Rattus norvegicus: one gene and its partners. The protein of the gene in region 3 purifies or fractionates together with the protein of the main gene of each other region. This does not show direct contact. Links are inferred from orthologs where the notes say so. Each region holds a gene or a part of one and is shown on either strand. Other genes may lie near its edges.

What was found. The genes of interacting proteins can lie anywhere in the genome.
Region 1: the proteins of Rccd1 (region 3) and Spag9 purify together in Homo sapiens (affinity purification with mass spectrometry; 3 studies listed by BioGRID and IntAct, counting the BioPlex papers as one, with this or other methods). This does not show direct contact. The link is inferred for Rattus norvegicus from reciprocal best matches to the Homo sapiens genes RCCD1 and SPAG9.
Region 2: the proteins of Rccd1 (region 3) and Kdm8 purify together in Homo sapiens (co-immunoprecipitation; 3 studies listed by BioGRID and IntAct, counting the BioPlex papers as one, with this or other methods). This does not show direct contact. The link is inferred for Rattus norvegicus from reciprocal best matches to the Homo sapiens genes RCCD1 and KDM8.

What each region holds. Positions count from the first base shown.
Region 1 is NC_086028.1:79,538,772-79,546,470, reverse strand, and holds part of Spag9 (C-Jun-amino-terminal kinase-interacting protein 4), read right to left. Parts: intron 7,091-7,699; coding exon 6,917-7,090; intron 5,792-6,916; coding exon 5,662-5,791; intron 5,219-5,661; coding exon 5,129-5,218; intron 4,758-5,128; coding exon 4,590-4,757; intron 4,178-4,589; coding exon 4,006-4,177; intron 394-4,005; coding exon 175-393; intron 1-174. UniProt on the Homo sapiens protein: The JNK-interacting protein (JIP) group of scaffold proteins selectively mediates JNK signaling by aggregating specific components of the MAPK cascade to form a functional JNK signaling module.
Region 2 is NC_086019.1:189,448,426-189,456,124, reverse strand, and holds part of Kdm8 (bifunctional peptidase and arginyl-hydroxylase JMJD5), read right to left. Parts: intron 4,814-7,699; 5' UTR 4,805-4,813; coding exon 4,313-4,804; intron 3,025-4,312; coding exon 2,858-3,024; intron 1,714-2,857; coding exon 1,581-1,713; intron 1,199-1,580; coding exon 1,154-1,198; intron 1-1,153. UniProt on the Homo sapiens protein: Bifunctional enzyme that acts both as an endopeptidase and 2-oxoglutarate-dependent monooxygenase.
Region 3 is NC_086019.1:143,686,088-143,694,286, forward strand, and holds the start of Rccd1 (RCC1 domain-containing protein 1), read right to left. Parts: upstream 4,731-8,199; 5' UTR 4,044-4,730; intron 4,031-4,043; exon of another isoform or gene 3,556-4,030; intron 960-3,555; 5' UTR 821-959; coding exon 652-820; intron 507-651; coding exon 110-506; intron 22-109; coding exon 1-21. Other genes in the region: Unc45a (protein unc-45 homolog A), read right to left, coding at 5,446-5,703, 5,866-6,021, 6,127-6,244, 7,151-7,266, 7,478-7,591, 7,956-8,022, 8,199-8,199. UniProt on the Homo sapiens protein: Plays a role in transcriptional repression of satellite repeats, possibly by regulating H3K36 methylation levels in centromeric regions together with KDM8.

The sequences.
Region 1 (7,699 bases), on a different chromosome or scaffold from region 3:
TCTGGAGCTCTGACCCATGAGCCCTCCTCGGCACTGACTGCATAGTGACACGGACAGCTCTCTCTCTAACATGGTTGGCACGCATCTTCTTCCAGCCCTTTCACCTCGGCTACTTTAAGACTGACAATCTGTAATGTGGACTCTCAAAAGAGCCTCAGACTCTCAAAGGTGTACCTGGTGGCTTTTCAATCACCGGAGAAGCACCATTGGTACTTGGGGAAGCAGCAGCTCCCGTCACTCCTTCTGTGGAGCACCCGACCACTGTGATGCCTCCCAGCAAGCTGTCCATCTCTGCAGAGCTGTTACTGGTCATGCTCCCACACAGAGACGCTCTGTCTACCTGACCAGAGTCAGAAAGCTCTTCTCCTGCAGGGTAGTCTGTCTCTCGAGCCCCTGAAAACAAAACACAAAACACAAAACACAAAAAACCTTTTTTTGAATACCCAGTAAACAAGCAGAAGCTTCTTTCTATTAAAGCTACTCTAGTTTGAAGTGAGAGTATATGGGTGAACCATACAGCTACTAGAATACCATCAATAATGCAGAGTTAAAGAAATCTTGATAAAATGAAAAATTTAGAGGTAAAAATCATATTTCTATTAATTCATATTCTAATGAAAAACAGGTTAAAGGTAATACCTCTAGCCGGCAGCAGCATGGCTCAGGAGGTAAAAACATATTTACTGCACAAACTTGATGATTTGAGTTTGGTCCTTATAACCCACAGTGGGAACAAAGAACCAACTTGCAAAGTTTTCCTCTGGTTTCTGTACATGAATGTGGCATGTGTACACTTCCACACACAATAACAAATTATTTAAACATTTAAAGGTATTTATAATATGGATCTATTAATGTTCGATAACAACATGGGTGTGTGATTTTTGGAGACAAGGTCTCCCTTGGTCCATGTTGGACTTGAACTGTATATAGTCAAAGCTGACCTTAAAGGTCTTGGTCCTCCTGTCTCCACCTCCCAAAAGCAGAGATTACAGGTGTCCATCACACCTGGCTAAGCCATAACATACAAAACAGAAAAGGTGACAGTGAGATGCTCAGCCGGCAAAGCACCTGCTGAACCAGCCCGGGGCCCCAAGTCTGCACCCTGGAACTTAAGGTGGAGGAGAGAATCAACTCACACAGTACTCTGACCCCATCCATGTGCCATGGCATACGCGGCCTCCTCACACACCACACACATAAACAATAAAAACAATTAAAACGTTTAAAGAGGAGGCTGGAGAGATGGCTCAGTGGTTAAGAGCACTGACTGCTCTTCCAGAGGTCCTGAGTTCAATTCCCAGCAACCACATGGTGCCTCACAACCATCTGTAATGGGATCTGATGCCCTCTTCTGGTGTGTGTGATGACAGCCACAGTGTACTCACATACATAAAATAAATAAATAAATAAATAAATAAATAAATAAATAAATAAATAAATCTTAAAAAAAAAGTTTAAAGACTGAACAGGGTCCCATTTCAGGAATTAACAACCATTTATACAGTAAGTAAAGAAGAAAACTGATCAGTGGTCAAATAACCAATATACACTATAACCAGCCAACAAACGGGGCCAAAAATTAATGTCAGTTATGCATCACATTCAGTGTAATACCTGATTTTACTCCCTACGAACACAACAACAGACTGATCCAAGTGAACCCTATTAAACACACCCATTAACTTATACTTTCATCAGGTTTTTATCCTTTTGGGTAAGGGGTTGAGACAATGTTCTGCTCTATAGGGTCAGGCTGACCTTCAACTGTTGATCTGCCTCTGTTTCAGAAGGGATGGGATGACAGGCATATGCTACCACACCTGACCTTCCACTTCAATACTTAAATGGAACACCTACCAATAACTCATATGCCTTCTAGTTTTCTACTGAAACTCCCCAAGTTCACTGGGTAGTTTTCATATTTGGGCAAAGGTTAAAATTATAACAAGAAATATCAAGTTTGAATGACAAGATAACATTGGTTAACTTTTTTTCCAAAGTAGTAATAGGTTAAATCTAAAAGGATCTAATTTTAGAGGCAATATCAGTAGCTCAAGTTTCAACAGTATTTACTCAGACCCAAATAAGATCAAGATAGATATACCTTTTAGGAGAGCCAATGTTAGTCCTGGCATTACCCCTTGACAAGAGCAAGTTCTTAGGTAGGTCACTGTATTCAACAAAGACCTGGGAATACTGTCTTGGATCTTATCTACATGAACTTTCTAATTTTCATACTAACTAGAAATTGAACAGAGCACACTCTGAGATAAACAATGTGACCTTTGCTCTATGAAGTTAAAGACAAGTAATATCTAATATCAAGTCAGGAACAGGGGACGGGGGCTGGTGAGATGGCTCAGCAGATAGAGGTGCCTGCTGCCAGGCCTGACGGCCTTGAACTTGATCCCCAGGAGCTACGTGGAAGGAGAGAACTAACGCCTGTGGTATGATGTCATTTCCACTATCACACAAAACTAAGTAAAATGCAACAAAACTCTTCTTTAAAACTTTGCGGGGGAGGGTTCTAGAGAGATGGGTTAATGGAAGCACTTGCAGAGAGGACCATGGTTCAATTCCCAGAATCCATATGGCAACTCACAACTGTCTGTAACCTCAGTTCCCGGGGATCTGATGCCTTCTTTGGCTTCCACAGACAGCAGACATGCACACACTATACATACAGGCAAAAACTCACACACAGAAAATAAAAATACATTAAACTTATTTTTAGCTGGATGAGGGGCGGCATACACCTTTAATCCTAGTACTTGGAGGCAGAAGCAGGCAGGTCTCTGTGGGTTCAAGGCCAACCTGGTCTATCTAGTGAGTTTCAGAACAGACAGCCAGGGCTACACGGAGAAACCCTGTGTCAAAAATCAAACAAAACAAACAGAAAAGAACAAAACAAACCAAGTATTTAACTTATTAAGACTACCACTGCTATTATTACTAAGATGGGCTTCTATTATGTACTATCACTAAAAGACATACGTGGCTTAAAATACTAGTGAGACATAAAAACATTTAAGCATTTACAATGGAAAACCATTTTTATCACTTTAAAAATATTACTTTATTTAATGTTTTTGTTTTTGTTTTTTTTGTTTGTTTGTTTGTTTTTTTTGTTTTTTTTTTGGTTTTTTTTCCCGGAGCTGGGGACTGAACCCAGGGCCTTGCGCTTCCTGTTTTTTTTTTTTTTAGACAAGGTTTTCTTTATGTGGCCCTGGCCTGAAAGAGCTATAGCCCAGGGTGGCCTCAGAGGTTCACCTGCCCCTGCCCTCCAAGTTCTGGATTAAATGTGCCACCACCACCCAGCTTTGACATTTTAAAGCAGTTCCTTTTTTTTTTTTTTTTTTTTATATATAAAAGTTGTCAGCTTAGACTTTTTGTTTTCTTTTGGAGACACAATCTCACTATATAGTTCAGGCTGACTTTGTCTCAAGGCGGAAAAAAGTGTTTCAACCACAATTATTTAATAACAGGAAAAAAGAGTGTAATTTCTTTTATGGCTGACTAATCTTTCTGAACCACTGTTATAAATTTACACACCCATTTCAGAACTTTGGCAGCCTTCCTGTACTAATTCATCTAGGGGGCGCCTCATTCTCTATCAATTAGCCACCCTCACATGTTGCCATTTGTTTTCAAGACAGGGTTCCAGGATATCCTGGAACTCGCTCTGGTAGACCAGGCTGGCTTTGAACTCAGAGAACCTGCCTCTGCCTCCTAAGTGCTGGGATTAAAGGTGTGTGCCACCACCACCACCACCACCACCAAGACTCAGTGCCATTTTTAAATATTTGTCACACTATTTTTAACTAGTTAAAAATATTTTTATTCAATGGCTTCCCATCTTATTTTAAATTCTCTCTTACTAGAACATAGAGTCTGTAACCACGAGCCCAGGAACACAACTCTTATCAACTTCCACAACTCCACACCCATATCCACCTGAAAGGAGGTGCAGGGAACACAGGGAGGGAGGGAGTCTTGCTTTACCTGGGACACTGGCAATGCACAGAACATGAGAATTGCAAACAGTGAAACTATCTAGGATGTTGCCAGGTTGAACAGCATCAATGATGATAACCTTTGTAGTTGAATGGGTGCTGGTACAGATCCAGACTTGACTGGACAATTCTTCTTGATTTTTTAATTCTTTCTGCTGTTCCTGAGTAGGCAGAGGAAAATGTTTAAAATTATATGAATGTGCAAATATTCTTAAGACTGTTCTTATACTAAAACGAAGTATTATTTTAAGTTATTTCAAGATTATTTGGAAGGGTCAAAATACAATTGTTTACAAGTATTTCTGGATTAAAACTTAGTAGTTAAATTAGCAGGTTGGCAATTAAAAAAACGCTGTCTTTTTTGCAGTAGTGGTGATACACAGTTGGCACAGTGGAATTGTAGTCACTTGAGTATATGTAAGTAATACCTCAATACCATCGATGTTGAAGGGACATCTGGGGAAACTAAGTGCACAATAATCCCCACTACAGGTTGCCTCAAACAAGTTTTGCATTTAAGAGCTCAAGTTCTACATTCCTAAATCAGGAAGTCACGTGTCATTACGCTCTTACCTTGAGTTCTTGATCCAACTTATCTAAACTACTCTGAGACGCACTCCGCTGTTTACTGCCTTCAGATTCCAGAGCAGAAACGTCCTTGTAAAACACACTTGCTCCAACCACAGACCCGCCGTCTCTTGTCTTGCCGCCGGATAAGTTGACTCCTACAGCACACCACAGCTTCTCGGAGGCAGGGGCGGGGAGAGAGTTATTATGTCATTTTTTTCTCTACAAGTAGTAAGAAAATTTTCACCTTTTAAAGATAACTAAAGGTAGAACCATGGGTATTTCGGTATACTCTGATATTATTGGTTAACTGTGGTAGCACACGCACTTGGGGGAGTGAGGCAGAGTTAAAGAGGTTCAAGACTAAAACATGGAAGAAAAAGGGATATAATCAGCCTGGATTATATAGTGACTCGTCTCAAAATACAAACAATGACCAAGTGTTAAAATGAGCTTTGTTCTACTACAAAGGCAGTTTTAAACAGTTTTTAGGGGTGGAAAATCTACTGGAGTTTGAGAGTCCCTCCTTCAATGTCACAGCTTACCTTCATAGACGCATCTTTTTCGTCTAGTGGTCTGAGATAGACAGGCACAGGTAAATTTTTCATCTTATTTTCCCCTTGACCATTGGCTACCTAAGGGGGACACATCAGTAAGTCCCATTAACACTGAGATTACAGAACTACTGAGACACATAAGTAGCATTACTGTCACAGGCTTGCTCCTGAAATCAAGTCAAGTCTGATTCTGTCGTTCTTACTTGAAAAATAAGCAAAACTCAAGCAGCAATTGCAGACAGTAAGCACGAGAGCTCGCAGGAGGCAGAAACCACCATCATGCATGTGTACGTAAATGCATGTTTGTAAACAAAAGTGCTTAGTCTTTAGGAGTTGGCATGTTTACTACATTCTAGGGCTCTAGAAAATAGCCTGAAAGACCATATCCTCCAAATTTGTCTAAACATATCGAAGCAGGCCGCAATGAGGAATTTAGGATGTTGCCTCTAGTTCACAGTTTTCAAGCACACTCTTCTCAGTGTGCACTTCCTGCTAGACACGCTCATCACATCCCCAAGTACCTGCTTGTACTTCTGAGGCAGACTCCAACCGAAAGCTTGCACTCGGCCATCTTCCTTCTGAACATGAGCCTTCACCTGCCGATACTGCTCTCTCTTTTGCTCTCTGCGGGAGGCTAAGCTAGCCTCAGTTCTAAAAGGAGACATTTGCAGTTTTAATTATGAGAATGCAACAATCCAGCATTTGAGTCATCCTTGACTCCACCCTGGAGCCTTGTACCCGAGACGCAGAGACAGACAGACGGACACACAGACACAGACAGATACACACACACACACACACACACACACACACACACACACACACACACGCGCGCTCATGAGGATTATACCAAAGCTGATTTTTCCATGTTTGTGAAACCAGCCTTCAACAGGGAATAAGCAGCATGTTGTATTAAACTGAGTTATTAGTCATCAAACTTATGACGTTTCAGATGTTATATTTAAAAGCATAAACTTCTGAGGTAATTTGGGATCTCTCTTTTCTTAAAAAATACTGAGAATTTTCTAATGCCAGCTGTTATGGAAGGTGATTAAGCTAAACTCCTAGATTCTACACCATTTCTCATGATTATTTTTTAAACTTAGATATAATTATTTCTTTAGGTGTTTGGAATGTTTTGCCTGCATGGATGTCTGTGCACTATGTGCATGCCTGGTGCCCTCAGAGGCCAGAAGAGTGCATTCTCCTTCCGACACACAGGTCCCGGGATGGATCTCAGTCCACCAAGGTTGGCAGCACTCTTACCTGCTCAACCAGTTCACTAGTCCTAAAGTGCAATTTTCACAAGAAATGCTGGCTACAAGTCATTCATTCATTCACTCATTCATTCACTCATTTTGGGGCAAAGTCTCCAAATCCCTGTGGCTCAGGATGGCCTCAAAATTACAATCCTCCTGCCTCAGCTTCCACAGGTTTAGAATGACATTACTAAGCTCTACAGGTAATTTACTTAAAAGCATCCATCCACGCTATAGAAACCATCCTTTTTTTTTCTTCTTTCCACTTCTATCCATAACCCCAACACGCAAAATAATAGTCTTTGTTCTTAAGACAGGTTTATGTGTGTAGCCAATGCTAGCCTGAACTGTCTGTACAGACCAGGCTGGCAAGGAACTGGTGATGATCTCCTGCATCAGCACCCTGAGTCCTGGATTAACATAAGCCTTTATGCCTGGCTACAAACAGTCGACTTCTCTCAGCGACTGAGGAGTTAGTAAGGGTGACCGGTTCTAGCACTCTGTTCGGAATACTCACTCCTCACTAAGGAAATCGAACGCCTTGGACTTGTCACCAGGGAGCTGAGATAAAGTGCTGCTCCTTTTCTTCACGGAGGGAGTCACGTGAGAGGTGGGGGCATTGTACTTCAGATTAACAGGGGGTTCGGGCTTCTTTGCTGCATTACTTGAAGAGCTAAAAAGTCGGCTGAAACTATCAAAATAAGAGAGGCAAACAATCAAAACCTATAGCTATGTCTATTACATGCACTGTGAAAACCAAGCCCCAATTTCCCATAAACTTTTATGCTTAAGAAAGTTTGAACTTTACGAGGCAGTGAGTTAGACATTCGCAAAATCGCTTTTATAGTTATACCACAGCCTTAGCAGTCAGTCACAACCAAACGTGGACACTCAGGGGAAAGTAAGTATTGCTTAGAATGCCAGATCAGATATAAGCAAGTTCTGTAACGAAAGAGATGCTTTTGCGTACAAAAAGCTTCCACTAAACAAGTATGATACAAAGGCTCCTTGGCTAGCTCCTATATGGGACAAGGTCACAGTGGTCAGTGAGCAGCAGGGGGATGACTGTGATGACAGTCAAAGCTTAGCGTGCAGTGCATAGAAAGGTCTGCTACACCGGGAACACACATCACCAAGTTAACTCATATCATGAATTTTCTAGGCTCAACTTGAGGATCTATTTTCATGTCCACAGTTTTAAACATTTATGCTTCCAGTAAACAAGATTAATCCTAAAGGGTAAGTTTTAATGTCAAAAAAGAGACAGTACTTCTGGTGCAAACATAATCAAGTTTAACAC
Region 2 (7,699 bases), about 46 Mb from region 3:
TAAGCCTTGCCCCTGGATACTGAGCGTAACTCTGATTGGTTCCTGATGATGTCATTGGGAATTCTGAAGGGTGATTGGTTGGCTAGATATCAGAAAACACGTGCTCCACGGATATGATTATTGACAAGTCCAAGGCAGTGGCCAGAGGCTTCTGAGACACTGCATTGGGAGGAAAGTTGGTGCAGGGTTCCTGGCAAGTGCTTGTCAATAGCCCAAGCTGTGTCTATAGGCACAGAGGTCCTAGAAACAGCCGTGCCCTGTCTCCAGGACACATGGCTGCTCAAACGCCTCTTTGAGGTGCTCAGAACAGCAGGGGAAGATGAGTGCGGAGGGGCAGCCAATCTGCCTGGGGATAGCTGTACACTGTTCTGCCTCACCCTAAAGATAACAGCAGCTTTGCCTTCTAGCCTGGGTCAGGATGGGCCTCTGCCACAGCCTCTGTATCTTAACCAGCCAGCTTGGAAGGACTCCTTATGCAGCTCAGCCTCTAAGTGCTTAGATTCAAGGTGTGTGCACCACACCCAGGTACAGGCAGCTCACAATGGAAAGGCAGTGTAGCTGCCAATGCATAGTCTGTTTTCCCACAGTGATGGTCATACCCGCTGATGATGTGTTGGGTGGCAGTGGGTGAACACCAGGAGGGGCAGGTAATCTGCCCCTAAGGGTGCTCTGGGCAGCAGTACCTGCTCTGTCCAGAAAACATGCATTTATTTGTAACACTGCTGGGGATCTTGTTGCTCATCAGGAGCCTCACCGAACCCATCATTTCCAGATTAAATCCAGAATCCTGTCTGGCCTTTTAGGCCTCTAACACCTGGCTCTCCCACTCGGAGTATAACCTCCCAGCTGGTGGTCTCCACAATTTCCTAAAGCTTTGGGGCTGGGATGTTTCTTAACGGGAATACTCTCCCACCCAATCCCACTCCAGCTCAGCCAAGGTGCACTGTTAAGTCTTTGACAGGTCATCCTGAGGATCCAAACTGGGCCCCCAGCCTCAGCATACTCAATCTCTCAAGCCTGGCAGTTCCGTTTGCCTCACACTGCTACCTGTGATAATCAGTGAGACCCTTGCTCCAAAGCGTAGCACCAGAAGATAGCCGTGTGTGTTTCCTGGGAGCAGAGGAGCAGGGCAGGAACATGGTCCCAGACTCACCTGGTCGAACAGCTGGTGTTGAGCAAGGTACCCGACATCCTTTGCCTGACCCAGAGGAGAAAAACAGAGGTGACCATCAGTTAGTTTGTGTCAAGCGTCTCTTGATGGCCCTGTTGCTTAGCTGGATGCTGAGTCTTGGCCCTGGCCCCACCCACCACTGTCCCGTGTGGCCCCTTCCCCACCCTGGGGTCTGATGTGGTCAGTGACCTCCCAGGCAGGACAGAGCTGAAGGGCAGGAGACTTAGGGCCTAGGAAGCATCTCTGTTCTGAGTGGGCCACCAGCCCCTGCAGCTTCTTGCAGGAGTAGCGCACAGACAAGTGCTGCTGCTTTTCATTGGAAGCTGTTTTAAAAACCGTGCTGAGGTGAACATGGCGTGCCTTAAGTTCAGCCACACTGAGCATCTGTTATACAGTGACTTGCATATACCTCGCTCAGAATGTATTTGTGGATGAACTCATTGACTGTCATGAGAGTCTGGGACCAGTCTTCATCTGTGTATCTTGAACCCACTTCCACGGGGACAGTGCGGCAGCCAGCAATCTCCTGGATGTACTGTAGACTACAAAAAATGTCACCATAGTGTCAGCATGCATCTAGGACATCTAGGAATGGTTTCCTTTGTTCTCTTCATGCAAAACCTCATGAGGTGGAGACGACTGTTGCCTTTGCTCTCCCGACTGTTCTCACAATACAGAGGTGAGGCTGCATGCCTGAGACCACACGGACTCTCCTTACCACCTCTGCCATCCACAATCCTGCTGACTCCTCACTTTCCTCTGTCACTGCTGAGAAACCTTGGGATGAGTGGAAGGCAGTATGGGATGGGGAGGTGATGAATGCAGACTCTGAACTCTGATAGCCTGGGTGAGTAGGAGACCCTTCAGTGAGTTACCTTTCCCGAGACCCTGTTCCCCATCTGTTAAAGGAGGTGATGCCAGAACCTGCCCCCATTTGGAGCATGACTGTTCTGCTGTGGCTCTCACAGAATTCTTCCTCACTGGAGCAGGGGCTACTTCCTCCACAAACTCACAGCAGGCCGACCTGACTCCACCCACTCCTGTCAGCTACAGTTGTCTCAGGGCACTCAGGGTACTTTTACATGACTCCTGTGGAAGGCGAAATGTCTGGATTCTCCAATCCTTACAGGAAACATTAGTGTGGCCTCATTCTGAATCCTAGTGGGAGCCACTCCTAGGTGATTGCAGTCATGGCCTCAGGCCCAGAGAAGGAAGAGCAGTAGGATCTCTGAGATCTTGCATGAGCACCTAACAGCTCTCTGAGCCTGTTACTCAGGCGCTTGCAAGGATATGCTCAGGGTAAGTGTACGTCAGTGACAGCTTAGACCACTGCACACACTTAGGATGGCCCGTTAAATGTTTTGTTAATTTAAAAACTATTATTCCATGTGCAGGAAGTTAGACATGCCACTGTGTCATATGTGGAGGCCAGAAGACAATTTTGTGGTTCTCTCCTTCTACCTGTGTGGGTCCTGGGATTGGGATTTAAACTCAGGCCACTAGGTTTTTTTAGCCATCTTGCGAGCCCTAGGGTATCCCACTTTAAAGTCTTCATTAATCCTCTGTAATCAATCAAGGGGTTTTGAAGGTCTGGGGCAGTGATGTATGAGTGGCCAAAAGAGACCTTTGAGGAGTCCTGGGGACACTCAGGAGGAAGGACCTCAGGTCCCCACAGTGGCTACTCACCTCCACTTCTTCATGCACGGCCAGTGGTCAGCCACACCTTCCAAGATCACAGGTCTCCCAGGAACTAGAAAATGCTTCTTGAAGTGCTGCAGAGGTGGGCAGCGAAGCCTGGGCACTTCCCGATCTAATACCACATCAGGAGTTGAGCTGGCATCATGCTTTGCCTTCTGTTCAGAATATAAACAAAGCAAGATGGCGACTGTCTGAAATCTGCGTTAGTGGCAGGATGTCTTGGGTAGCGTTAACAGCAGATGGCAGTTATTTGTGTGCACATATGTGTGGCAGAGGATGGACCTTGGCTGTTCCTCTGTACCATGCACATCCTCCTTACTGAAATGGGGTTTTCCCCCTGGCCTGGGGCTCACTGATTCAAGTGAGGCTGGCTGGGTAGCAAGGCCTTGGGGTCCCCCTGACTCCACTTGCCCAGCTATGGTTTGACAAGAACATGCCACCATGCCAAGTTTTTACATTGTCCTAGGGATCAAACTCCAGTGCTCCTACGTGTGTGACCGGCTCTTGTCTGAAGCATCTTCTCAGTCCTGTGCTTCGTCTTGCTTTGAGATAGGGTCTCAACTTGTCTAGCAGGCCTCAACCTCACAGACATCACCTGCCTCTGCCGCCCACGTGCACAGGGTAAGGGTGCTCACCGCTACATGGAGCTGTGTTTTATGTTTTTGAGACAGGGTCTCAGTAGGAAGCCTGGAATGACCTTGAACCCAGAATCCCCCGCCTCAGATTCCAGAGTGCCCACCACACCCAGTAGTAGATAACGTTTCTATACCGTTTGTTTTCATGAACTCAAGGTCCCTTTTCCTGACCATGTCACAGTCTTAGAGCACTGTGGTGACAACAGTCCTGAAGAGTGAGTGCTAATGACATCTATCTTACTCATAAGTCACACCCAACAGGACATTCTAAAACTGCAGGAAAGCACTGAGAAATACATGTCAAACAGTCCAGAATGCCATAGCTGGCACCCATCACAGCCCCAGCCCTTCCTCTCTGAGGCTCAGGATTTATCTGACAACCTACAGATGAGGACACTGAGGCCCAAAGGAAATGGTCTCTGGCTCACCCAGTGGAAGCTTGGTAAGGACTATGTGTCTGCAGCCTTCGGGGTAAGCTGTGCTCTAGGCTTGGAAGGAACTATGAGACACTTAAACACCATGGCCAACCTCCATGAGGACTGGAGGGACAGAACACGCTGGGTATCTCTCCAAGACTAGGTGATGAGAAGGCATGCTGAATTTCCTTCAGAGCACTTTTTTTAGATTAAGAAAGCTGCCACCTCCCCCTCTAAAAAGGGCACTGCCTTTGCAGCTGCTAATTCCCCAAATCCACATGATGCTCTTTTGGCAGAGAGGCTACCTGTCTGACACTGTCCTGGGATTGGACTGGATTCTTCTAGAAGATGGGTTGGGCTGCCGGATGGTTCAGCTTTCAATAGTGACCCACCTTGGTAGCAGGCTGATCCTGGTGAGGGCCACAGGCAGGCTGCTTTCTAGGGAGCAGATGTGTCTGGAGGACTGTAGCAACTTTGAGAAGAATGTCCCCAAGGATGGCTGCCCCCATCAACAGGCCCATGTCACACACCCGCAGTGCTTCAGCCACAGCAGTGGCCTTCTGTGGTGCCTGGCACAGGCACAGGGTCTTCAGGAGGCAGCCGAAGGAATATACCCGGCGCCATTCCTTGTCTACATCTCGCCAGGGACCAGTGTTGAGCTTTTCCCAGGAGTAGTCCAGGACAGCCTCACTGGCCTGCAGGCACTTCTGCCAACGGCCTTCATAGAACAGACCCAAAGCCTGCCGTAGCAGCGTAGCCACGCTCCTGTCCACCTTCTCACTGAGATCCAGCTTCAGCTCCTCCTCTGTGTCTGGCAGGAGCACCCTGAGGTCCTTCCAGAGGATGCTGGGCCCCACTAGGGGCTCTGTAGTGTCCTCTGACATGATCAGCCCCTGAGAGGAACAGGACAGGAATCAGAGCCCACATACAGCCCCGTAGCTCACACCAGTGCACTTCAACAAGGTCTTTGCTACTGCTGCCTCGCTGGTGCAGGGCCTTCCTTTGGGGTCACTGCTCTACTTCAGGGCCTTGTACAATGCCCGGCTCTAAGTGGACTCTGGATGGATATCTTTTCATAGAGATGAGTCCTTTCTTTATCTAGAATGAATCCAACATACTTCCTCTGCCTGGCAAACTCCTGTCCAGCCTTTCAGGCCCATCCTGAATGATCTATGTGAAGTCTGAGGAAATTCTCCTCAGGGTTTGTGTCTACAGCCCTTGGGTTCTTCTATAGCACTTGTCACAAGCACGTGTGTGAGCTGCCTCTCCAAGGCTGGGTTGGGGCACATCCGCTTTGGTTTCCCTAGAGCCTAAAGCCACAGGTGCAGAAGGAAGTGCTCTGTTTTTTATGTCCCCAAAGGTCCATGTGTTGAAGGCTTAGTTCCCAGCCTATCATGGTACTTAGGGTGGCATAGCCTAAGTATGAATTAGAACCTAGGGGAAGAAACTAAGGTCATGGAGACACGGCCTTACAGTTGGACACATTAGGACCCCAGCCTTGAGTTTCTTGGTCACCATTAGGTAAAGAGACCTCCTCTGCCTTGTGCTCCCACAATGATGTACCAAGCTGTCACAGGTCTAGAGCACCAGGGCCATGCAACCTGCTGATATTCTAAAATCATGAGCCAACACAAATCTTCCTTCCTTCCTTCCTCCCTCCCTTTTCTTCTTCTCCTTTTCCTTTTATCTGCCTGCCTCTGCCCCGTCAAATGCTGGGATTGAAGGCATGTGTTAGCATCGCCCAGCTAACCTTTCTTTATAATTTATCCCAGGTATTTGTTACAGAAACGGGAAACAAACACAAAAGCCTAAGCAGAAAGACCATGCTCAGCTCTGGTAGTCTGGTGGCTTGGCCTGAGTATTGTGTGGACAACATCATTTGTGATGGTTTGCATATGCTTGGCCCAGGGAGTGGAATGTGATGATGGTTTGATATGCTTGGCCCAGAGAGTGGCACTATTAGAAGGTGTGGCCTTGTTGGAGATGTGTCATTGTAGGGTGGGCTTGGAGACCCTCCTCCGAGCACCTCCTAGGATGTGGAGTCTGTTCCTGACTTCCTTCAGGTGAAGATATAGAACTCAGCTCCTCCTGCACCATGCCTGCCTGGTCGCTGCCATGCTCCTGCCTTGATGATAATGGACTGAACCTCTGAACCTGTAAACCAGCCCCAGTTAAATGTTGTTCTTATAAGAGTTGCCTTGGTCATGGTGTCTTTTCACAGCAGTAAAACCCTAACTAAGACAGTGGGCTAAACCTCTGAACTGTAAGCCAGCCCCAGTTAAATGTTGTCCTTTATAAAATTTGCATTGATCATGGTGTCTGTTCACAGCAATAAAATCCTAACTAAGACATCGCTACACCAACACTAACAGATCTGCAGCTTACAGACGATGGCTTTGTGCCCTGCTCTATCTTCTTAGCTCTATCCTAACAGCTGTGGCATTTGCTATGCTGCATGGGATTTATCCATCAAGGTTCACGGGCAGGGAGTTTGGGCCTGAGGAAGGCCATTTAAAAGATGGGGCCAGGGAAGTGATTAGGTCATTAGAAGGGCACCACTGTGGGAGGGCTCAAGGCCCATCTTACAGGAGTGGGCTAGTTCCTACAAGGCTGGTTGTTATAAAGTGAGGTTCACCCTTATGTTGGGTCCTTGCATGTGCCCCCCCTTGTCCTGCCCCCCCCCCCCCGCCCGCCACTTCTCTACCATGTGGTGACACAGCTAGGTGGCCCTCACTAGATGTCTGTACCAAGCTGTTGGGACTCTGCAGCCATCAGAATTGAGCCGAGGAGCTCCCTTTCTTTATTCCTCTCCCAGTATGTGTGCGACAGTCTTACAGCAACACCAGATAGGGCAGGACACATCCTCTGCCTCCCGTGCTGTTGAGTGACGAGACCATCCTGTGTTTGGCAGAGAATGCAGATGGCCAAATATGAAACGTTAGGCTTTGTTGGCCACACAGTCTCCGTTGCCACTACTCTGCCAATCAGGAACCAGAATAAACAAATAGGGGTGGCAGTGTTCCATTAAAGCTTTATTTATAAAGGAGTGGGTGCCAGATGTAGTCAGACAACTCTTGTTCTTCTGTGTTTTACCCCTGGGCTTCATCCCTGGCTTGGGGTAAAAATCAAAAGGAAAAAAATACCCTTTATGTATTTTTCTTTGAGACAGGGTCTCTCTGTGTATCCCTGGCCATCCTGGAATTCACTATGTAAACCATGCTGGCCTCGAACTCGAGTTCTGCTAGCATCTGCCTCACAGGTACTGGTATTAAAAGTGTGTGTCACCACCTGCAGGCAGAAAAGACAGCCTTTACCTTTTTCCTGGCTCAGTCAGACAAGCTTCTGCTGTAATTTACTGGGGCAGAACAAAGTGCTATAGGACTGAATGCAGTGACTAATGCCTGGCCACACCTCCCACAGGTTTCCTAAAGGTGGAAGTGGGCGGTTCTCAGGCTCCAAGGATTTAAAGTTCTAGGTGGCAGGAAGCTGCCACATGGAAAGGGGGATTGTTGGAAGGCAACTGAGCCTGGACAAGCCACATGGAAATGGCCCAAGCCAAAAATAAGCACACTTAGCCAGTTAGCAGACTGCAGCTGGTGCTTCTTACATCCGTTAGTCTGTGCTGCCCGACAGATGACAGTCCCTACGGATGGCCATGTCCCAACACGGAATGGTAATTATGTTACCTAATGTGACTGAGAATGGGAGATTATCCTGGATCATCAAGATGGGCCGTATAGCATTAAAAAGATCGTTTTGAGCTAGCATCAGATTTGGAA
Region 3 (8,199 bases):
CCGTGACCCAGCTGTCCATGCCTGGTCAAAGGAGTCCCTAATCGGTTACAGATACATTCGAGGGAGCACCTCCTTGAGCGTCCCCACGTCATACCCAGCCCGTCCTCACCTGCCCCCGCCCCAGGAGAACACCTGGCCAGCTTCGCACAGCAGCAGCGCGTGCTCCGCACCCAGCTGCAGCTGGCGCACCCGCAGCTCTGGGGCCAGAGGCTGGCAGAAGGGAGGCTGTGGGGTCATATAGGCACGGGCGCAGGGCAGCAACGGCAGCGTCCCCATCCTAGGCTCACTGCCGGGTTCATCTTCCCCTTGGGCCTTTGCCCCAGAAGCTAAGTTCTGGACCCAAAGGGGCTCCCCCTGTAGCGCGGAACCTGGTACCCAGGCCTGCAGTTCCGTGCCGGACCCACTCTTGTTGCGCTGCACCACCAGGAGTCCCTCCGACGCCCACACATCCCTGCAGCCGTCTGCTGCACAGCTCACAGAGCCTGACAGTTCCACCCGGCCTCCGCCTGTGTGGGTAGAGTGGGGTGGGACACATGCCATGGGCTCAAGGTTGCCAGAGTAAGGGTGTAGGGTATTTCTGGACAGGCAAGTTAAGAAGGGCTGGGCAGGTAGAGGGGACAGGCCCGGAGTTGGGGTTGTAAGGGTACTCACGAGTCACCAGGGCAGTGTAGCTCCAGCTTGCGCTCACTTGGCAAACATCGTCAGCAGCATGCAGTGGTTCAGGACTGTGCACTGCATGTTGGCCGTTCCCAGAGCCCAGCGCTTGCCCAAAGCCACAGAAACCAAAGCCGAACCAGGCTCCTTGCCGTTTCTCGGCCATGTTCAGGTTGAGGCCTCTGTGGGTGGCGGCCACTTGGCTGGGGTGCAAGATTAAGGCTACAACCCAAGGAGAGTCTCACGAACAGGACACCTCAGGAACACTGGCGAATCTCGCCTTCAAGGGGCTGCAGCCGCGTTATCTGTAAAATAGAGACTGGCTACCATCTTAATCACTGGGGCAAAGGGAGTTCATCCCACTATTGTCTGTTGAGAGGAGCTTTGGCCAAAGGTCCTACTGGATTTGCGACTATTGAACGGTCTGCAGCTGACTGCTTCTTTCTTCCACTTTTGGCTCAAATCCAGTATCCCACTGTAAGAAATATTAAGTATGCGTCTTTTCTGTCAAACACTATAAAACTTGTATTCGGGGCGGATAAGAGCACTGACTGCTCTTCCAGAGGTCCTGAGTTCAAATCCCAGCAACCACATGGTGGCTCACAACCATCTGTAATGGGACCCAATGCCCTCTTCTGGTGTGCCTGAAGACAGCAACAGTGTAGTCAGACACATATAAAACAAATCCTTTTTTTAAAGTGATTAAAAAAAGATAATTATAAAAAAAAAAGATAATTATTATTTTGGGCTGGAGAGATGGCTCTATGGTTAAGAGCCCTGGCTGCACTCCCAGAGGATCCAAGTTCAATTCCTAGCACTCACATGGCAGTTCACACCTGTCCGTAACACCAGTTCCAGGGCTTCCTACACCCTTACACAGACATACACACAGGCAAAACAGCATGCACATAAAATAAAATAATAAAATATTTAGATGTTTTTCCTTCACATTTGCCTGTGTACCATGTTTGTGTCTGGAGTTACTAAAGGGCAGAAGAGGGCATCAGATCCCCTGGTACTGGAGTTATGAGCTATCACATGGGTGCTAGAATTGAACCCAGGTCTTCTGCAAGAACAGCAGTGCTCTTAACCACTGAGCTTCTCTATCCCCTTTTTATTTTGAGACAAGGTCTTTCTATGCAAGTCCCTGCTGTCCTGGAACTCACTATGTAGAACAGCCTGGCTTCAAACTCACGAAGACTTCCCCATCTCTGCCTTCTGAGTGCCGAGATCAAAGGCATGCGCCACTACTTCAACACCAATCTTCTTTATCTCCCTGTACCCCATAAGACTATTTTGAAAATGTTACACACATACACACACAAACCAGTAAATCTTTTGTTTTCTCAAAGTCCCATGACCAGTGACCCTTTCCTCTTTTCTCCTTCGTTTCCTGTGCACTAAGTCTTGCAAGACTACCCAATTTAGGGCAGGGTGTGGTGGTGCACACTTTTAATTCCAGCACTTGGGAGGCAGAGGCAAGTGGGTTTCTGTGAGTTTGAGGCCAGCCTGGTCTACAGAGCAAGTTATAAGACAGTCAGGGCTACATAATAAGAGACCTTGTCTCAAAACATCAGAAAGACCAGTCAAGGAATACTACTGAGAGGTCAGACCCCAGCCAGGTGGGAAAGAGGAAAACCAAGTGTGTTCCTGTCTCTGTTTTCTGCTCTTCCCAGCGTAAGTGCTTGTTTGGGTCCTGGAGTCGCCTCACAAACCACACGAACACCAATCTCTGCCAGACAGGGAGAGTTTATTGAGCATTTGCCCCAGGACTGACCAACCAGTGCCACAGTCCACGTTCAGCAAATGAACTGTGACCCCAAGTTAGGATTCTACAGGGTTTTTAAGTCTAAATTCCACAAACATCTGTGCCAAATTATTCCACCAAACAGAATTTAGGGATAGGGGACGTCCTCAGGAACACGTCTTTGCTACACACTTATCCTGGCTCCCATTGGCTGGGAATACGACTGTGTCAGGGGACTTGCCTTGTCTAATGTTCATGTCTTAACTTGTCTACCAGGACAGGACTTGTCTAACATTTATGCCTTAACTTGCCATGAAAGATGTCAGTTACCCACGTACATGTTTCTTTCTGCAAAGTAGGATGGCGGTTCCCAGGGAGGTCTTGGGACTCAAACTTTACTTGACCCCTACTCAGAAGTCTTATTCCAAATAGTTTCTTTTATTGGCGCATGTGTCTCTCTTATCTTGGGGTCTAGCCCAGGGGCAGTTTATACCATAAAAGCTTATACACAGGAGCAGGAAGTTCTGCTTGGTGGTTGCTTTGGATCCAAGCTTACTGTGGTTAACTACACAAAGCAATTCTACTGACTTCTAAAGTGACTGGTTTCCAAGGACACAGAACAGAACATATAGTCAGCCTTAGCCTTACAGAGTTTCCTGAGAACAGAAACCTATGAGAAAGTTTCCTTAAATGGCAGGCTAGCCAAGTTACAGTTACCTAGGTCTAACATTCCACCTAGGCCTTAACAGTGGTCTCTTTCTTTGCAACCCAGAACCTATTACCCCTACCGCAGGGAACGGTGAGGTATTTAAGTGGGAGACCAGATGCAGCACTAGGATCTGAAGCCCACTGCTCCAGATCCCTAGCTGGAACTTTAACCCCAAGTCACACAGCAAGTACAGAGCTGAGTCAAGTCCTGTGGGTTTATAAGCTTCATCCCAACAGACAGAATAAATACCTGGGGCCTGTGTGTGTGCCTGTGCACCCAAATCCTACTGCATAGCTTCCGTTTTACAAAGCGGGTGGGAACAGCAGTGCTTGTATCTACTTGGCATAATTGTTCGCAATAAATACAAATCAAAATTAAAGTGGCAACAGTCTTAGCTTAATAAATGCAGTAGCATTTAACGACGAAAATGACCATTGGCTCTTACCGGGTTTCAGAGGCATTTGGAAAATTTCCACTGGACCTTACTTGATAGTTTATTCTTTCAAGAAATCTGTTGCGCCTTTCCTTTGGCTTAATTCAGTGACTATGGGCCCCAGGGAGACAGTCGCACTGTTCCAAATGCAACGCCACTTCATTGGACTGGATCAGAATTTTACAGACACTCTAAAGCCTCTTAAGTCAGACCTGAGACCACAGCTCCTGGATCCCCCAACCAAGGGAATCTTTTACCTTCCCCGTTTCCTTGTACCCTCAACTCATCAGGAAAGCCCTTTAAGCGGGAAACCTTGGAAATGGCAAACGCATAGTAGCGCACAGCTCCGAACAGACCGGCGGCGGGGCAGAACGTGTTTAAAGGGCCCCCGCGCCAAGCAAAGCGGTCATTGGATGCGGCAGCTTTTCTGAGCCAATCGCAGGCACGAGCGATGACGTCACCACGGGGCCCGCCTGACGTGCACACATGCGCCGGATTACCTGCCCTTTGCCAAGCCAATTCGGGCTGCTCCGGACAGTGTGCCGAAGTCTCCGATGGGCGCCGACAGTGGACGCGGTTGGAACCACTGAATACTCAGGAAGATCCGAGGGGAACGGTGGGCACAGACCAAATCCTGACTCCTTCCATTCCCTTTGAACAAGGAAGGAGGCGGTTCCTACTGAACAAGCTTAGGACTGATATCCAGACAGGAAGCGGTAGTATTAGTGCCTTCACTGATTGGCCCAGGCTCTGTCATTTACTTCTACTGAGCCAATGAGTCCCAAGTTTGGACCCCTCTAAGAGACAGGCGTTCTCAGCCAGAGATCCTATTTGGGCCGCGCTTCTCCTTCAGTAAGACACAGCTACAGAAACATATTTTTCCCGAGAGAAGGGCACACCAACCCCAAATCCCAAACACAGACCTAGTAGAGATCACAGAAAACTCACAATATCATGATAAATGTGTCCAAGGGTCAGCATAACACATTGAAATATGTTTCCTAAGCTTCAGGCTAACTCACCAGGGCGTACAAAGAACCCAGGCTGGGTGACGGCAACTGTAATTCCCACTACTTTTTTTTTTTTTCCTTTTCTTTTTTTTCGGAGCTGGGGACCGAACCCAGGGCCTTGTGCTCGCTAGGCAAGCGCTCTACCGCTGAGCTAAATCCCCAACCCCTACTTTTTTTTTTTTTTAAGATTTATTTTATTCATATGAGTATACTGTAGCTGTCTTCAGACACACCAGAAGAGGGCATCAGCTCTCAATACAGATGGTTGTGAGCCACCATGTGGTTGCTGGGATTTGAACTCAGGTCCTCTGGAAGAGCAGTCAGTGCTCTTAACCACTGAGCCATCTCTCCAGCCCCGCACTACTCTTAAGGGCTGAGAAAGGATCGTCAGTTTGAAGCCAGCCTGACTTACCCATATTAAGGCCTTGTCTACAGATTCTCCATGTGCCCACTGGCTTCCTTTCCTTACAGGGGAAGCACACTAGGCTGCAGCTCCAGAGCGTCCCACCCTCAGCAGCCCCGCCTACACAACAAACTTGAGCTTTAGTTCCACATGATTTATTAGAGGGACTAGCCTGCTGGCAGGCTCTGGTGATGCTCCCGGCTTGTGAGGATGCTACTGTGCCCTTCCTTCTTGATGCCCATAATCCACAGACTTGAATGGGATGCGTGCTCCCCATTCCCAGCTCTCTACAGTACAGACAGGGCCCTTCTGAGTGCTGGCAGGGCAGGGCTGTGTGGTGCGTGTCCCCAGGATAGAGAACACCAAAGTGCAGCTGGGGAGGAAGGCCAGTGTCCAGCATCCCAGTCCTGTTGGCCACGCTGCTTCTATCCTGACTCTCAGAGCTGTGATGGGTAGCAGACACATGAGCTGTGGGTCCAGGGCAGAACCTCACTCCCCATCCTGGTTGGGTTGGATAAGTCTATATTCCACGGCTTTCTCCAGACAGGCTGCAGCAGCCCTGGTGACTGGGCTCTCCTCGCCCTTGGCCAACACTGACAGGATCTCCAGGACCTCGCTCTCCATCAGGGTGCTGGCGATCTCCTTCGAGGACTCCATCATGTTCAGCACCACGACAGTGCCCCGGTGCTGCAGCTCCGGATTGGGGCTCAGAAGCAGGGCCTGCAGGATCTCCAGCCAGTGCGTGGTCTGTAGGGAATGGTGGGTGTGAAGACCTAGCAACAGGCTCGACTCTGGCAGAAAACACATCTGTACCCTGGGAGCTCCCCAACAGAAGAGCGATGCTACCATGTGAGGAACTGCTAGTTCCCTCACCCTCCTCCATGCCCCCCACAAGAACAGGCAACTAACCACTTGTGGGATACGGCTGCAGAGTGAGGGCCGCATGGAGGTGAGCATGGCCAGGCCACCGGCAGCAGCCCTCCGCAGAAGCTCATCATCTTCTCCGCTGTACAGCACCAGCAGCTTCAACCGGTCGTTGCCCTGGGCTTCGAAGAGATCCTGTACCTGCGAACAGACGGGGAGAGGACCCTGCTACCTCGGCCCACAGTGTGCTCAAAGTGCAGGGCCGCTGGCATCTCTGTCACGGTGACTAGCTGGACCGACCCTCACCTCTTTGCTCATGGCTAAGTTACACATGCACTCTGTAGCTGCCCGGCGGATCATCTCATGCTCCTCAAACATGTAGCCCTCAATCATGGGCACGGCCTTCTCCTTCAGGATCTTCTGTCTGCAGGACAAGTTGGCACACGTGACTAGAGTCTCCATATCATCCTGTACCACACTACCCCAGGTGGCTGTGCCCTGAGCTGAGGCGCTCCCCTAGCAGTGCCCACAGGCTTTCCTGTGTGGGTTATGAACTGCAGAGCTTTCTAGCCTTCTGGCCTGGCTACACACAGCATGGGGGTGTTGAGCGTCCTGGAACTTAGCAAAGCAGGGTGGTTATGAAGATAGCTCGGTAAACATCAATCATCTGAGCTCTGAACCTGCCCAAGCTGCCTGAACTGTTTCACCTGACGCTCATCATAGCCCCAGGCTTGAATTATCTTCCTTAATGTTCACCTTACTCCATGTATAGTGGTGGCTACCGTCTCTATTTAGCCAAAGCAGAAACTGGGCCGCATGGTGAGTCATGTGTTCAAGGTCACAGTACTAACAACTAATACACATTCACTGTGACTACTGCCAGGGCCAGATACCTAGGAACTAAGGGCTTTCAGGAGAGGTTGGGGAGTCTGGCCTAGAACTCACAGCCAATCTTCCTCCCTTGGCATGAGCCACCACTTGTGCCTGATGAAGGGTTTTATAAGCATTTTCTCAGCCATCTCTCCATGCTACTACTCCACAGTTAGATACCTAACTAACTCTGAGTGGAAGCTGAGGCAGAATGACTTAAAGACTTTCTTAGGGTGAGTGAGCCAGTGAGTGTCAGCAGTCTGAGGAGAGGAGGAGGATGTAGTGGGCAGAGTCAGGGCCCCAGCGCTTCACCCTGCCACCCCTGGCATGACTGTGTCCTCTGTATGTGGCAGAGGAGTCATTGTGAGGCACACAGAATGACCAGGAACTGTCTTCCAAACTCCAGCGTGAGTAACTGGGGCTCACCCAAATCCCTGTGCCAAGCTGCATAGGACCTTACCTAAGCCTCTCACTGATCCCGGCCAGGTTCGTTAGGGCCATGAGGGCCTCAAAGTTCTGCAGTCCTGAGCAACTGAGGTGCAGCAGAGAGACAAGGGGCCGGACTACTTCGTAGATCTGTGATAGAACCCCACACATCAGTGCTCATGCAACTCCAGGGACCCCCAGCAGGGAGCCCACCCAAGACAGTGGCTCTGTGACTGTCCTCTACCCCAGGACTCAGCAATACCGCCACTTCCTGTTGGTCATGAGAGGGAGACCAGGACGGGGGCCATCAGGGCAGAATGAAGGAACAGGAGGGCCACAGGCAGAGCAAGGATTCACGTACCCGCTCACCAGGAAAGGTCATCTCTGGGTTGGAGGTGATGGTGAGCTTAGCAAGAGCCTGTGCTGCCTTCGTCTGCCCGACGTCGGTGCCCTCCAGGGCCAGCGGGAGCAGAGCCTATCAAACAGCCCCAGCCCTGTCAGTGCCCAGTCTAGCATCGATCCTGACTGCACCCTTCCTCTCATTCTTTCCATGGGCCTGAGAATACTCCCGCTCAGACTCTCCCTCATTCTGAGGTCTCTCGTTAAAACCACCCACACTTCCTCAACCACCTATTAGGTACTAAACATGGGTTGTGCTGGGCCCCGGGGCCAAAGAGGGAAAAGGAGGCAAACGCAGGACCTTTATGGCCCCAAAGGACTCTGGGGCGCCTGTCCACAGAAGCATCTGGTCACTATTAGTGTCCTCCAAGCCAGAGCCACTGAGTCATGCTTTATAGGTGGATGGCTCAGGATCAGAAAGGAGTCAGAAGCCAGCTTACCTTGCCCCCTCCCTGGGCAACCACGGTACCTCGATCCTCCACCTCTTCCACCAAAGCCAGGAAGACCCTGCAGGGAAGAGACATGGTGAATGGGTATGGCCCAAGGTTCTGGCAAACAGGCATTTCATTCTTAAGCAAACAAAGGAAGACGGTCGAGTGCTCTCCAACCCACATAGCATAGCACCCACTCCAAGAGGCAAGCTGCAGGCCAAGGCAGGAGTTAGGAGGCACAGGCTGGCTTACC